2 separate regions of the Mus musculus genome follow, and region 2 is reported to be linked to region 1. The links are microRNA targets in miRTarBase. Many come from high-throughput screens and were not tested one by one. Region 1 holds a microRNA gene; the other region holds the end of a gene's coding sequence.
What was found. The annotated mature microRNA mmu-miR-3474 reads CCCUGGGAGGAGACGUGGAUUC and lies in region 1 at 4,677-4,698, shown strand. An mRNA with a match to its seed (bases 2 to 7 or 8) in the 3' UTR can be bound and repressed. Matches are read on the target gene's strand: a 7mer-m8 pairs with bases 2 to 8, a 7mer-A1 pairs with bases 2 to 7 and ends in A, and an 8mer does both.

Region 1 (7,117 bases):
CACTGGCCATGTGTGTTGTTTATGTGTCTAAGTAAGATGGAAACAATGGATGAAGACACTGGCCATGTGTGTACGGTACATGTCTTAGTCAGGGTTTCTATTCCTGCACAAACATCATGACCAAGAAGCAGTTGGGGAGGAAAGGGTTTATTCAGCTTACACTTCCATACTGTTGTTCATCACCAAAGGAAGTCAGGACTGGAACTCAAACAGGTCAGGAAGCAGGAGCTGATGCAGAGGCCATGGAGGGATGTTCCTTACTGGCTTGCTTCCCCTGGCTTGCTCAGCCTGCTCTCTCATAGAACCAAGATTACCAGCCCAGAGATGGTGCCACCCACAAGGGGCCTTTCCCCCTTGATCACTAATTGAGAAAATGCCTTACGGTTGGATCTCATGGAGGCATTTCCTCAACTGAAGCTCTTTTCTCTGTGATAACCCCAGCTGTGTCAAGTTGACACAAAACTAGCCAGGACAGTACACACAGGTTGCTCTCAGTTTAGCAAATTGGATGCAGTAATCTGTCACCAAATCTCGAGCAGTCGTTCTGTTGTTGGAGGATGACTGCTGGTGGTGGGATGAGCTATAGTTCTAGTCCTGATGAACTCAGCCATGACATTGACTAATCTGTTCTGCCTTTTAGTATTGCCACAATGTAATTCAGTTAGGATGAAGTGAATAGTGTGGGCCCTGCAAGGCACCGGTGAAGCCCAGCTGTGGACTGCAGGCTGAATTAACACAGCTAGCCGGGAGTTTGAACCAGCATTCCCTACGTCCATTTTTCCTACAGACTGTTCCATTGCGGTTCCTGGAGTGCCGAGTTGTTTGTTCTCATGAGAATGCTGTAAGGACTAGATATAGAACTTTGGTAGTATTCTCTCTTTCTTCCCCTTTCTCTCTAGCTCTCTTCACTCTCTCTCTTTTTCCTTTTCTTGAGACAGGTTCTCACTCTACAGCTCTGACTGGCTTCAAATTTTCTCCTGCCTCTGCCTCCTGAGTGCTGGGATTAAAGGTGTGTGCTACAATGCCTGACCTTTCTGTTGCTAAGAGGTGTGTGTGTGTGTGTGTGTGTGTGTGTACACACTGTAGTGCACAAACATGAAGGCCAGAGGACAATTTTGACAGTTAATTCTTTTCTTCCCCCATGGAGGTTTCAGGAATTGAACTCAGGTTGTCAGTTTTGTGGCAAGCCCTCTTACCCTCTGAGCCATCTTGCTGGTCCTATGTTAGTCTTTTGCTAACTTGTATTATTCCCACCCCTTCCCATGTGAATTGCTTTGAAGAGTGTTTCGCTTCTGCACAGGTGCTTGGAACATTGGGTGAGATGAGACCCCATCCGATTCCAGCATCAGATCGGAGCTGAATTTTGCTGGTGTTTGCTTATCTGTCTGTCCTGTCCTCAGACCCCTGACCTGGAGCCGCTGGAACCCACCATGGAGGATGTGGAGAACATCAGTGATTTCGAGCCTTTGTTCTCGGAGGAAACGCCCGAAGTGGAGAAGCCGCAAGTCACCACAGTCCAGGTTTGAGCACTGTTACCAAGACCACCTGTACATTTGAAGCTGTTTGCATAAGTGACCGGCCCAGTCCGCTTCTTGGGGAGCACTGGAGAGCCCCGTTGTGCTCTCAGCCTCAGTCAGAGGCTTTCCCCTGCTGGACAGTTGAGGGGCTGGCGCCATCCCTCATGTGAGCACTGCCAGTGACTGAGGTCTCCAGACCTGCACATGGGCTCTTAGCCATTATCACCATCCTTACTGGGGTCTGTGCCTCTTGTTATGCTGGTAGCAGCAAAATAAAATGACTGAACCTGAGCCCTTGGGGATGGGGGGAGGTGTTGAACCAGGGTGAGCAGGGACAGGGTCTGTCCCTCTGGGCCACTTGACTGCTGCACTTCAGAGTCCCTTCCTGTAACTTGGGGCTCAGGCGTGACACAGTGTATGGGGATTTGTCACTTTGAGTGTGAGCAGAGGTAGAAGGCGGAGCTTGAAGGGAGGAGAGCTGAAGACTGGTGGTACTGGGCTGGAGGAGATGTGGTTTGAGAAAACTGACAGCGAGCAAATGGTCATCTTAGTCTAAAAACATCTCTTAAACCTTGGGTTTGAAGCCCGTGTTTAACTTGGCAGCGTATCATCAGCTGTCTGTTGGGACAGAGAGGATCCGTGCTCCGGAGATTATTTTCCAGCCATCCCTCATAGGAGAGGAGCAGGCGGGGATTGCAGAGACCCTCCATTTTGTCCTGGACAGGTGAGCCGTGATACCCCCTCAGCTTCCCGAGCCAGCTCTCACCATTGCTGCCTGGATGCAGGTAGTCTGCCCACTGACCCAGGCCTGCAGGCAGAACAGGTACAAGCTCCAGTCCTTCATCTGTGAGCTTTACCAACTAAGCCTTTGAGTCCTGGCCAGGATGTCCCCTGGCTTTCATGTGAAATTTGCCATTGCTAAAAGCCAGTGATCATTTTATTTGTGTGTTCACTGAGTTGGGGTCTCCCTATATACTCGTCAGCCTTGACCTTGAAGCTTCAGAGTAGCTGGGATCACAAGTGTAGACACCATACCCCTGAGAGACTAGTGATTTTTATTTCATCTTGTTTTTAATTATGGGGGAAGAATGCACACTTGGCCTATAGTATGGAGTTGTGAATGAAAACAAAAATACTGGTTTAGTTTCTTTTAATTAGAGTTGACTGTTGTACCAAGAGCTTGCCTCTCCAGGTCTTGCTTCCATGGGCTCAGCAGCCAGATTGGTGCACGCTTTCTCTCCTAGGTACCCAAAGGCCATTCAGGACACCCTGGTTCAGAACGTTTTCCTTACCGGTGGGAACGTGATGTACCCAGGCATGAAGGCCCGAGTGGAGAAGGAGCTGCTGGAGATGAGGCCCTTCCAGTCCTCCTTCCAGGTACAGACTGCTCTCCCCACCCACTGTTTGTGATTGGCATCCCAGCCACTGACTGCAAAGTCAAGGTGTAAAGACTGGACTCTGCAATCCCATCATCCACTGCAGAGGTTCATTGCTGGCCTTGTCTTTAAGCCACAGTCAGCTTATGCGGACGGCAATCCTACTTGTATATCGCTCTGCTCTTCTGTTAGTTGACAGTATTGAGCGTGTTCTGAAATCCAAAGAGCATCCGCAGCAGAGGGGATCGTCACCTATGTCTTCCCATAGTGAAGGCTTCGTCTCTGGCTGTTTACTTATCTCTGGACAGGGTCTTGTTTCTCTGCAGTAACCAGGAAGATGCTTTGATGGCTCCTCTCTGCATAGTTGTTACTTTAGGTCAAGTGAGACTTGGAAGGAGCCTGAGCCACGAGTCATGTGATTAATTTACATTTTTAGGGAGGTAGTATAAGGTCAGCCTGAACTAATGAGTGAATTCAAGCCAGCCTAAGTTATACAGACTCATTCTCAGAAATGTTCAAGAGGAGAGGGTGAGGTTTTTCACTAGATTAGGAGTGATGGACAGGCTTGAAGTGGAGGAAAATGCACTGTCTCAGGCTGTGGCTAGCACTCAGGTAAGAGGCCATTAGGAACTCAGGGCCCCCCTGGGAGAACAGGGAACACCAAGGATCCAGCCCTAACCACAGCCTTTAAGGGTGCTTGGGAGCTGGAAGACATCTCGGTGAAGTTGAGGAGAGAGGCAGCCGGAAGAGGAGGGATAGCAGTGTTGACACCAAGGCGTGGCTTTTCAGGCTGTAAGCCTGTGCCTGACTGGACCTGGCAGGGCAGCTGAGGAGGAAGTTGTTGGGTAAAGGGCTCTTGGAACGGTCACGCTGTCCACTTGGCAATCCGAGAATCCCCCTGCCATGCTGTGAGAGCCTGGTTGTAAGAGCGCTGCTTCTCACGCCCCACCCACCCTGCCACCCATGTCCTGTATCAGTTTGGTGGGACGGCAGCATCAGGTAGCAGTAGCTCGTGTCCAATTATTTTACACTAACTTTAAAACACTGACTTTCACCGGGTGGTGGTGGCACACGCCTTTAATCCTAGCACTTGGGATAGGAGGCAGAGGCAGGCGGATTTCTGAGTTCGGGGCCAGCCTGGTCTACAGAGTGAGTTCCAGGACAGCCAGGGCTACACAGAGAAACCCTGTCTCGAAAAAAAACAAAACAAAACACTGACTTTCTAGGGCTGGGCTGGGGCTCAGTGCGGAGCATCTGTCTGGATCCTGAGGCTGGGAGCTCAGTCTCTAGTGTGATACAAACAGGACGGATCACATTGTTTTTCTTTTGCTGGTTTTACTGTCTTTGTTATCTTTGTAATTTTTGTGGTGCTGGTGGAAGCCTAGAGCCACTTACAAGCTGTGCAGGCCACTACCTGCTCAGCCGTGTCCCAGACAATTAAATGAGCTGAAGTGAAAAGAGGAAACATGGTAGGGCCTGGAGAGGTGGCTCAGTGGTTAGAGCACTTGCTGCTCTTGCAGAGGCCCTGGGTTTGGGTCCCAGCACCTTCGTGGCGGCTCACAACTGTCTGTAGGCCAGATTCGTGGAGATCCACTGCCTCTTCTGGCCTCTATGAGCACTGGACATGTAAATACTACACAGCCACCCGTGCAGGCACATACACACACACACCTGGGCAACTGTGTACTCTCACAATGGAGGCATCTCTGGGCCTTTCTGTGTGCTTCTGAGGATGTACAAATGGTTGGCTGAGGCAGCAGAACCTTCCTGACTGGGCCGGGAGCCCTGGGAGGAGACGTGGATTCTTTAGAGTGCATCTGCGTCTTGTTCCAGGTTCAGCTCGCCTCGAACCCTGTGCTGGATGCGTGGTACGGTGCCCGTGACTGGGCCTTGGATCACCTAGAAGACAGTGGAGCCTGGGTCACCAGGAAGGACTATGAAGAAAAGGGGGGCGAGTACCTCAAGGAACATTGCGCCTCCAACACGTACGTCCCCATCCGCCTGCCTAAGCAGGCCTCACGTGCCTCAGAGACGCAGACTTCCGGCCGAGGCTCCAGCGCCAGTGGAAGTGGGGCTGGTGATCAGGCCTAGCAGGGGGGACGCCAGATGACCTTGTGCTTCACCCTTGCCATGGAGGCAGTGTTTGGGACAAGGACAGTGCCCCATGGTGCTGCCTGGGTCTGACAGCCTTGTTTGGCCAGTGACTGGATCTCCCCTGGGAGCCCAGCAGAGGAGAGCAGGTGATCTACCTCAGTGAAGGACACAGTGGCCTCTGGCACCAAGAACTGTGGACAAGCTGGGGGACTGCCTTCCTCAGCAGTGAGGGAAACAGCTGGAGGGAGAAGTGGGCAGTGCTGCTCTTTGCACTGTTTTGTTTTGTTTTTAAAGCTCTAAAGTTATCCATGGAGTGTTTATTCTGTGTGTGCCACTGTCCTGTGTGCCACTGTCCTCTGACTGCGCAGAGTGTGCTCCAAGCTGCTGCTGAAGCAGTGGAAGTGGCCGTCCACTGAGCCCCTGGAGTGGGAAGACCCACCCCGCCCCCACCCCATTCTCTGCCTGGTTCCTGTCTTAAGTGGAAGGTGGCGCTTGTGTCCAGCCTTCTAACTGTTGCTTTGCTGGAGATGCTCCCACACTGTGAAGCCTTGCCAGAGATTTGTGTTCGTCTGTTTTGTGGGTTTGTTAGTGACATGCCCTTTTCAGGCCGCTCCGCAGAACTGACGGGGGCGGGGGAGAGCCCATCCCAGGGACTTTTCATTTGTCTCTGTCCCCCTGCCCCCACGCTTTTACAGTGTGACCTTGACCAGGTAGCTGCCCTCTTCCCCTTCTGCTGCTTTAGGGCTAGGGTCTCATGGTGCAGCTCAGGCTGGCTTCACCTCAGTCTTCCTGCCTCAGCCTTCCTTAGTGACACACCCACACCCTGCCAAACATCATTTTTTATAGATTGTTGCTAAGATTGTTAACTCTCAGACACACCCAAGAACTGAGCCCAGTGGCTCCGGAGCTCATGGCACCACAGAAGCCACGTCCAGATCCCAGGAACCTTGAGATGCTGCTACGGTGCACGCAGCACACAACCTGTTTGCTCAGTGTGCCTGAGCAGTCTCCTGTATCTCCGGTCCTCAGGCTGGGAAACTGCAGGCCTGAAGGGGCCGTGTGTCTAGGGGGAGAAGACCCTGGCAGTTGACCCATGAGTTCTAAGGTGTTTCCTATTGCCTGTGCTAGGCTGGGCCAAGGACTGATGGGATGGCAGAAAGAACATGGACCAATCTCCATAGGAGAGATGTATTCATAGCACCATCCAGGGCAAGAGATGGTGCTGACCACTGGCCATCCATCTTAGCCTTTCTTCTTCAGTTTAAATGAGATAGCCTTGGAGGACAGGCAGGTGGTGAAGGGCCCGGAGTGGGTGAACCTGGTGCTTCACACAATGCAACGAGCAGTAGGCTGGATAGCTCAGGTTTTTAGGCAGTGGTCAACACAGGAGGAGATTGGGAGCTGAGGGCCAAGGGGCTGAGCTGCGAGCTCTCTAGTTTTGTCTCCTGTGAAGTATGTCAGACCTTTTACCTTTGGCCTCCAATTGGCCCTTAGGGAATCCTACCCATTCCCAGAGCTAGCCAGGAGTTTGCTACCTGCAGTTTTCCTAGGCCTTCAACACAAGTATTCACCATGTACTGTGGGCCTTAGACTCTAGCTGGTCCTTTGTAAGCAGTGACGTTTCTCTCAAGATCAGGAGTTATGTAGGACAGAGGGTGCCTTGGCCTTCAGAGCTGTGAAAGAAAAAACATCTTGCTCTGTCCCCAACCTGCTCTTTGGAATTGGTCACAGAAGCCAGGAGGCCAGGTGGGAAGCTGGTAAGCCATACAAGAGGATGTAACTTGTCCCCAGCCCAGGAGACATCATCAAAGATTCACCAAGAACTGGTGTGATGAGACCGGCCCTGCGTGACTATTTTACCTAGCGTGATGTCACAGATGTCACGGCATCCTGAGCGGCAGTTGTGTGTATTGTCTCCTGTCTCTCTCCCTTGTCCCTACACACACACACACACACACCCTTGTTTTAGGAATGGTCTGACAGTCATTGGCTACCCTAGTCCTCACTGTGTAAACCCGGTTGTCCCAAAGCTTGTGGTAGCCCTCCTGCCTCTGCCTCCAGGATGCTGGGATTGTAGACGTGAGCCAGCACACCGGGCTGTTCCATGCTTGCTTTATCTGTGGTACTGGA
Region 2 (7,117 bases), not on the chromosome of region 1:
ACACACACACACACACATACACACACACACACACACACCACACACAGATCACACACACATACACATACCCACGATCACACACACATACACATACGCGCGCACGCCCGCTCGCGCGCGCACACACACACACACACAGATCACACACACACAGATCACACCCACACCCACACATACACCCACACACCACACACACACTGACCTCCAGCTCATCCTTGGAGGCCGCATCCAGCATCACGAGGTCCTTCAGGAAGGTTCCCAGGTAGGGAACCACACCCTGCAGGCAGAGATGGCAGAGATCAGGATGTGAGCCCTTCTCCCTTTCCCTCAGACACAACTGTGTATTCTCCTCACCAGGTAAGCCACCCATTCCCAGCCCCACTGAACACTCACCCCACCCCTGAAGCCAGACCTTGGGGCCTTCTTGGAGTGTGGCTCCACAGGGGGCTGCGGCTTCACTTCCTGGTGACAAAGCAAGGTGAGAGAGGAGGGGGCTGGGGAGGAGGGGGCAGGTGCAGAGAGGCTGGGGAAAGCAAGACCGCCCTCACCTGCATGAGGAGCTCTCTGCTCTGGGAATAATTATCCTCCTCTGAGAAAATCTGGCACAGGCTGGAAAAGACTCGGAGGCTGTCCCTAGAGAGGAAGAACAGGCCTCTGAGCACAAGCCTGGCGTTCCGAAGCTTCCGCACCCCAGGCCTCGGGCACTTCAGTCCTCCTACCTGGTTGTCTCCCCCCAGGCTGCCCGAAGCCTGTGGATAGGGCTGGACTGCAGAGCGGACACAACAGCATACACTGAGGAGAAGTTCCGAAGCAGGCGGCACTCCTGTGAGGACCGGAGAACAGTCAAGGCTCTAGGGTCCCTCACCACTCCGGAGACGAAGAGTCCCCAGCCAGCAGGCCTGCTCTCTCTTACCTCGGCCACACGGATCCACTTCTCTAGGAGCCGGGCCCTCTGTGGGGGCCGCAGTGGTCTCACAGTCACCTCTCTTGGCCCCTCTCCAATTGAGGTGGCCCCCAAGACAGAGCTAACTACCGCCCCCGCCACCTTGTTGAACTGTGTGACGGTAGCTCGGACAGACGGGCAGAGGTGAGAATGTCCTGGCCGGTCTCTGTGACCCCAGAGGCCTCCCAAACACTGAGAGGGGATCAGATTAAGAAACAGTTCCTGCAGGGCAGAGGTTACAATTTAGAGTCAAGCCAGACAAGTTTCCAGTATCAGGGATCTGAGGCTCTTAAGTGGCCAGGGACCAGTGGGGCCAGAGTTCAAGGGGAACAGCCAAGGGGCGAAGGGCAGAGAAGGGTCAGAGAAGCAGACACGGAAGAGGAACTGCACCAGGACAATTGGAAGCAAGAAAAGGATCCGGAGCCAAGGAGAGGTTAGTAAGGGGGCAGAGAGTGTGGGGTCAAAGGTCAAGGTCTCACCGCATCTAGCAGGGTCAGCTGTTCGGCCAAGTGGTCAGCGAGGAACACCAGGACATCCGTGGGGTCAGCAGGGGAATCGCCAGGAAGGGCCAGGGGCTTAGGAAGGTCGGGGGCCCGGGGGTCCACCCGGGCCCGGAGGTTTCGGATGAGGTCAGCACTGCCCCCCACAACACCCTCCCGTGCTGCATACCCTGTCCGAAGCAAGAAGCTCTCAAGCCGGTCAAGTTGACCCTTGACCTCAGAGCCAAAATCCTCAGGGTGAGAGGCCAGCCAAGTTGAAAGTACAGAGATGGCTACCCTGAGAGAAGGGGAATCAGCCAGGGGTCAGAGGTCTAGCCTCAGCACCCTGAGGGGACTGAGGTTCAGACAGGGCCACTCACCCTGTGGTCCTCTCTAGCTCACCGGGAGGATGAGATTCAAGGGCTTCCAGCCTGGGGATGAGGAGAGGGTCTACCTTGTGGCTTTTCCAGCCCCCGCTGGTGCTGGGGGTGCTCAAAGGGAATCCAGGAGCCTCCTAACCCTTGGCCCCTGACCTGTCAGCCACAAGCCCAAACAGGGCAGGAGTGGAGGTGAAGGCCCGGTGGGTGGCCAGCAAGGCCGGAGTGAACATCATGTCAGCCCCTGCTGTCCTGGCATCCAAGAGGTGTCTGACCAGGGCCTCCAGAGTGCCAGCGCGGAGCCGTCGGGAGGAGCGAGGTGGAGGCAAGGGAGCCTGGAGAACATGGAGGGTGTCTCACCGACGGGCCTCCTCAATCTGACTGCTAGACATCTGGGATAATCCAGATCTAGCTTATTTCTGCCCCGGTTCAGAAATGGCTTAAATCACACAACACAGAACTACCTTCACACTACCAGAACTTCTTCAACCTAATGTTCCGGAAAATAAATAAATAAATATTAAATTAAAAACCGAGAGGCAAGACCTCAAAGTCGTGATCTCACCAAGGGGTCAAGAGGCCTGTACTGGCGGCTTGTGACAGTAAAGGTCGCACCATCCTCCTCCTCGTCCCAGACTGACACAGAAGCCTGGAGGAGCAAGAAGAGGAAGTGAGTTCCACAGCACCTCCAGTCCCCAGCCATTGTCCCCAGGCCCTGTTCCTCCCTCTGCACCCCTCACCTGTGATGGCGGGGGACAATACCAGCGAGTGCGAGGGGTAGAGGGTACTGGTGACCCCAGGTCTACCCCACCCTGGGGCTCAGACAGCCCCCCCGGCCACCTCAGAGCTCGGTGGGATGGAAGAGGTTGCAGTGAGGGTTTCAACTGAATGCAGGAACCCCTCTTCTGGCCACCTCCAACCCCCCTTGTCCCACAGCTGAGCCCAACGCAGAAAAGCAGGGCGCAAAGTCAGGAGCAGAGCGCGCCCGAAGAGGCACAAAGCCAAAGGAAGAGAGACCTGAAGCAGAGAGAAGCTGAAACTTCACAAGGCCCGCCCTCCCTGACAGAACCAGAGGAGCCCAAATTTAGTCCTTCCGCAGAGACTCCTTTTCCCCAGGTCCCCAATACAGCTTCCACTTAATCTCAGCACTGGGGACCCCCTGAAGGTGGCGGCTCCAATCCCAGTTACAAGAAGGGGAAGTAAGGATGATGGGGGGGGGGGGCGGTAGACTCAGAGTCATGTGGCCCTAGCCCCTCCCCCGACCGATCCCGAAAAACCAGCCTTGCTAGTCACCCTAACTTTACCAATGTCGGGGCCCAGGAGTCTGGATCCTCGGGCTCCGAATCTAACTTCTGGACCCTCCTGAATCCCTAAATCTTGCTGCGGACTACATCCTATCAGTCTCTTTGGACGAAGATGACCACGCTCTACCTATCCCGGGATCATCTCTCCAGGTGCCGGAACCTCTTGGCTTGCTGCCCTCTATTGAGCACCAGGGGGTGGGGGAAGAGGCGGCGAAATCTGAGGGTTCCCTCCCCAATCCTAGAGTCTGAGGAGCTGGTTACTGTGGAAACAAACCCCTCCCAGCCAAACAAAAAACGAGGAGGGAGACAGGGACCAAGATACAACTGCCCAGTGGCACCCGTCTAAGCAGGTATGGGCAAAGAGGGCCTGAGCCCCGCAGGCACAGTCAGCCCGTCTGCCAGCCAGCCATTCTGGTTCCGGCAGGTTCCTACGGGCAGGTTCCGAGCAGACAGACAGGGCGAACTTCATAGACACCAGGACCCGCAGCCAGGGGACAGATATCCAGAGAGAGTGTGGCGGGCGGGATGCGAGTGAGGCGGGGAGGAAGAGACCGAGGGACCCAGAGACACCGAAAGGAGGAGAGTCTCAGAAATATTTAATGCCCTGCCTCCCGCCACCCGCGTCTCACCTCTTCTTCTTCCTCATCCTCTTCCTCCTGCCCCCCGCCCACGGCCCGGCCACCTGGGTCCCCACCCTCTTCGGGGTCCCGGCTCCGGAAGCTGCTCAGCACGACTCCCCCGGGGGGGGTCGTGTCCAAAAGCAGCCGCAGGGGCCGCGGGAGCATGGCCGAGAGAAGCAATCAGCGGGGTCGGGCCATGGGGGCGCCTGGGGAGAGACGGGTGGGATTGGGTGGAGTCAGACGGGCGTGGGGGAGACGGACAAGAAGGGACCTAGGTGGGAGTCCCTGAGGAAGGCTGGGGGAGGGAGATACGGGAGTGGGGAAACCCAAGCCCTCGGTGCTTGCTTGGGACTTGGGGGCTAACTAGTGCGGAATGGGCAGGGTCACCCGGTGCTCCGGCTCTGACCTGCTCGGGAAGGGCGAGGGCTGCGCGCGGGTCCCGGGCCTCTGTTCTTGTCGGTCTCTGGCCCTCTACCGAGTCCCCTCCCCGGCTTTTCCGCGATGCCCCCCTCCTGCACCCCGCCGGGCTCCCGGGCCCTCCCGCCCTTTCCGCTTCCCCCCTCCCCGCGTCCGCCCGACAGCAGGAGCCAAAAAGGGAAGGAAGTGAGGACAGGAGCCAGGGAGAGCGACTAGGGGAGTGCTGGACGCCAGGGGCTGGGACGCAGGCTGCAGGTGCACTACTCCGCTGTCCCTTGCAGCCCCACTCGGTGGCTCTGAAGCCCGCGTCTCGCAGCAGACACGCTGGAGACCAGGGTCCTGTCTCAAGCCTCCACAGGAAGGCAAACACGGAATTTTAAGTCACTTTTTCTAACCAGAGCGGCGCTGCAACTGCCGAGGAAAGTGCCCTAGCAGTGGCGCGACCCCGTTACTGCAGCTCGAGAATGACACTGCCGCCCCGGCACGAGTGCAACGGAGCGAATCCGCGCCGGGTTTTCTGTGCCGCCCTTATGCCCGCCCACTCGCGGGGAGGGGGCGGAAGCCGGCTAGTGCGGCGCTTCCGGTTCCACTCGGGTCCGTCGCTCCGGGCGTCCGGCTCTCACCGTGCGCCCGAGCGCGCGCGGTTCCCACGGTGGCTATGTCGTCTCCCGGGTGCGAGACGAGGACCGGGAGGTGACCGAGGTTGGCTGTGCTTGGAAACGGGAGAATGAGAGGCCCGCATGGAAACTCGGAAAGACTTTATTAGCTCACGAGGACCGGCGAACAGGAGAGGACGAACCACACGGGGACATTCGTAAAGGGCCGAGACCCACCAGGCCCGGAGATGGTAAAGGTGGACCAGGCAAAAGAAAAGCTGTGGTAGGAATGGAGAGCTGGAGAGGTAGGCTTTAGTCCGCGAGGGAGACACATGGACCTTTCCGTCTCTAGACTACTGCTGTGGGCTGTCCCTGAGGTCTCTAGAATCTTAAGATGCTATGAAGACCTTTCGTCCTAATCCCCTGGCCAGTGGTTCTCAACCTTCTTAACATTAACGCAGTTCAAGTTGTAAAATTATTTTCTTTGCTACTTCGTAACTGCCTTTACTACTGTTGTGAATCCTAATGTCTGGTATTTCCGATGGACTTAAAGGGGGTTGTGAGCCACAGGTTATGAACCCGCCTCTCTGGCGCATACACTGGTTCTTCTCAACCCTGGGACTCTACGCATGTGTGTTCTTATATTTAGTTCTCTCAACAAAGCCCCGCCAAGTAACCCCGACTGACCTGAAACTCCCTATTTGTAGATCAGGCTGGCATGGAAATGTCAGAGATCCACTGCCTCTGCCTCCCGACTGTGGGCATCAAATGAGTGTGGCGCTAAGTCTCGCTTTTTTCTCATCTTAAAAGTTTAGTTCGAGTCCAGCGGTGGTGGCGCACGCCTTTAATCCCAGCACCTGGGAGGCAGAGGCAGGCGGATTTCTGAGTTCGAGGCCAGCCTGGTCTACAGAGTGAGTTCCAGGACAGCCGGGACTATACAGAGAAATCCTGTCTCCAAAAACCAAAAAAAAAAAAGACCTCTAGGCATGGTGTCCAGTGCCGTTTGTCACTCCGAGGCAGAGGGACAGGTGGATCTCTGGGACTTCGAGGCCAGCCTGGTTGGCTTGGTGAGGGTTCAGGACAGCCAGCCAAGGCTACATAGAGAGACCTTGTCTAAAAACAAGAACAAAACAAGAAAGATTGAAACAAACAAAAAAACCTTAAAAAAAAAAATCCGAGCTATTCAATGGAGGGAGAAGAAGAGAAGAAGGCTGTTGTTCTGGGGCAGGGGCTACTGGAGTCATCTGGGCCAGAGATGAGGGTGGCTTCCACAGACGAGAACTTCTTTACTGTGACTTCTGCAAGAGAAGAAAGAAGTGGGGAATTGGAAGTGTTGGGAGGGAAGTGAGTTTCTCCCAGTTAATGTAGAAACATTCTCACAGTTACAGGCGTGGGAGCAGGCTGGGGCTGTCATTTCCCACCGGCCAGACATGGTCATGAGTGTCCTCGCTCCTGAGTCTTCCAGAAGACCCAGTGGGTCAGCTGAGAATCCAAGCAAACCCCACCCCTGGGCTGTGCTCTGAGCTTTGGAAGTCCTTATGTTGTCTACATGTTTACATTGCCTGGATAGGTCAGAGCCGGACTTGGCCACTGCCGCACAGTGGTCTCCCAGGCCACTCCCTGTCACACTTTAGGAGCCTTTCCCTCCATACAGTCTCTTTGCTGCCTATTCTCATGCTTTGATGGTATCCCACTTTACCCTGTAATAAATTCTGATTGTCTTCTGCACTTTAAAAACTTATGCTGGGAGACACTCAGCAGGCAGACTCAATCACTGGTCTGAGTTTGATCCAGGATCGTACAAGGTTGTAGGAGAAAACTGGTCCCAAGAGTTGTCCTCTGACATCCAACCTTATGTGTGGTAACACACCACACACATTCATATGCACACATAGGGGAAAATCTTTAAGAGGAAGAAAGACGGGCTAGTGGGGTAGCCCAGGGGGTAAAGGTACTTGCCGTTCTGAGTGTGATCCCCAAGACCCATGGGGTAGAAGGAGAAAACCAAGTCCCACAAATTGTTTTTTGACCCCCACATGTCTGCTGTGGTATACACAGTCCCACACAAATAAATGTAACTTCTAAGCCGGGCAGTGGTGACACACGCCTTTAATCCCAGCACTCGGGAGGCAGAGGCAGGTGGATTTCTGAGTTCGAGGCCAGCCTGGTCTATAGAGTGAGTTCCAGGACAGCCAGGGCTACACAGAGAAACCCTGTCTCAAAAAGCCAAGGCAGGAGGGAGGGGGAGTGTCATCCTCAAATATGTAGCAAGCTTGAGGGCAGCCTGAGCTACATGAGACCTGTATCAACAGAAACTTAATAAAATGTGTGATTAAATTTTACCTGTTTCATTTAACTCCTCTCTCCCCCATGAGCCAAGGTTT

Region 2: the mRNA of Tapbp is a reported target of mmu-miR-3474. Seed matches in the 3' UTR shown: 7mer-m8 at 5,590-5,596 and 7mer-m8 at 5,348-5,354.

What each region holds. Positions count from the first base shown.
Region 1 is chr2:158,633,907-158,641,023 of GRCm38, forward strand. Mir3474 (microRNA 3474) reads left to right here and starts at 4,677; the gene lies at 4,677-4,734. Actr5 (ARP5 actin-related protein 5) reads left to right here. Exons shown (of 9, transcript NM_175419.4): 6 at 1,401-1,520; 7 at 2,102-2,241; 8 at 2,762-2,894; 9 at 4,727-5,305. The coding sequence ends at 4,984.
Region 2 is chr17:33,927,054-33,934,170 of GRCm38, reverse strand. Tapbp (TAP binding protein) reads right to left here. Exons shown (of 8, transcript NM_009318.2): 8 at 4,881-6,031. The coding sequence ends at 6,020. Rgl2 (ral guanine nucleotide dissociation stimulator-like 2) reads right to left here and starts at 4,277. Exons shown (of 18, transcript NM_009059.2): 1 at 4,127-4,277; 2 at 3,730-3,926; 3 at 2,362-2,445; 4 at 1,953-2,131; 5 at 1,800-1,850; 6 at 1,420-1,717; 7 at 911-1,162; 8 at 717-820; 9 at 546-630; 10 at 391-459; 11 at 200-274. The coding sequence starts at 3,885.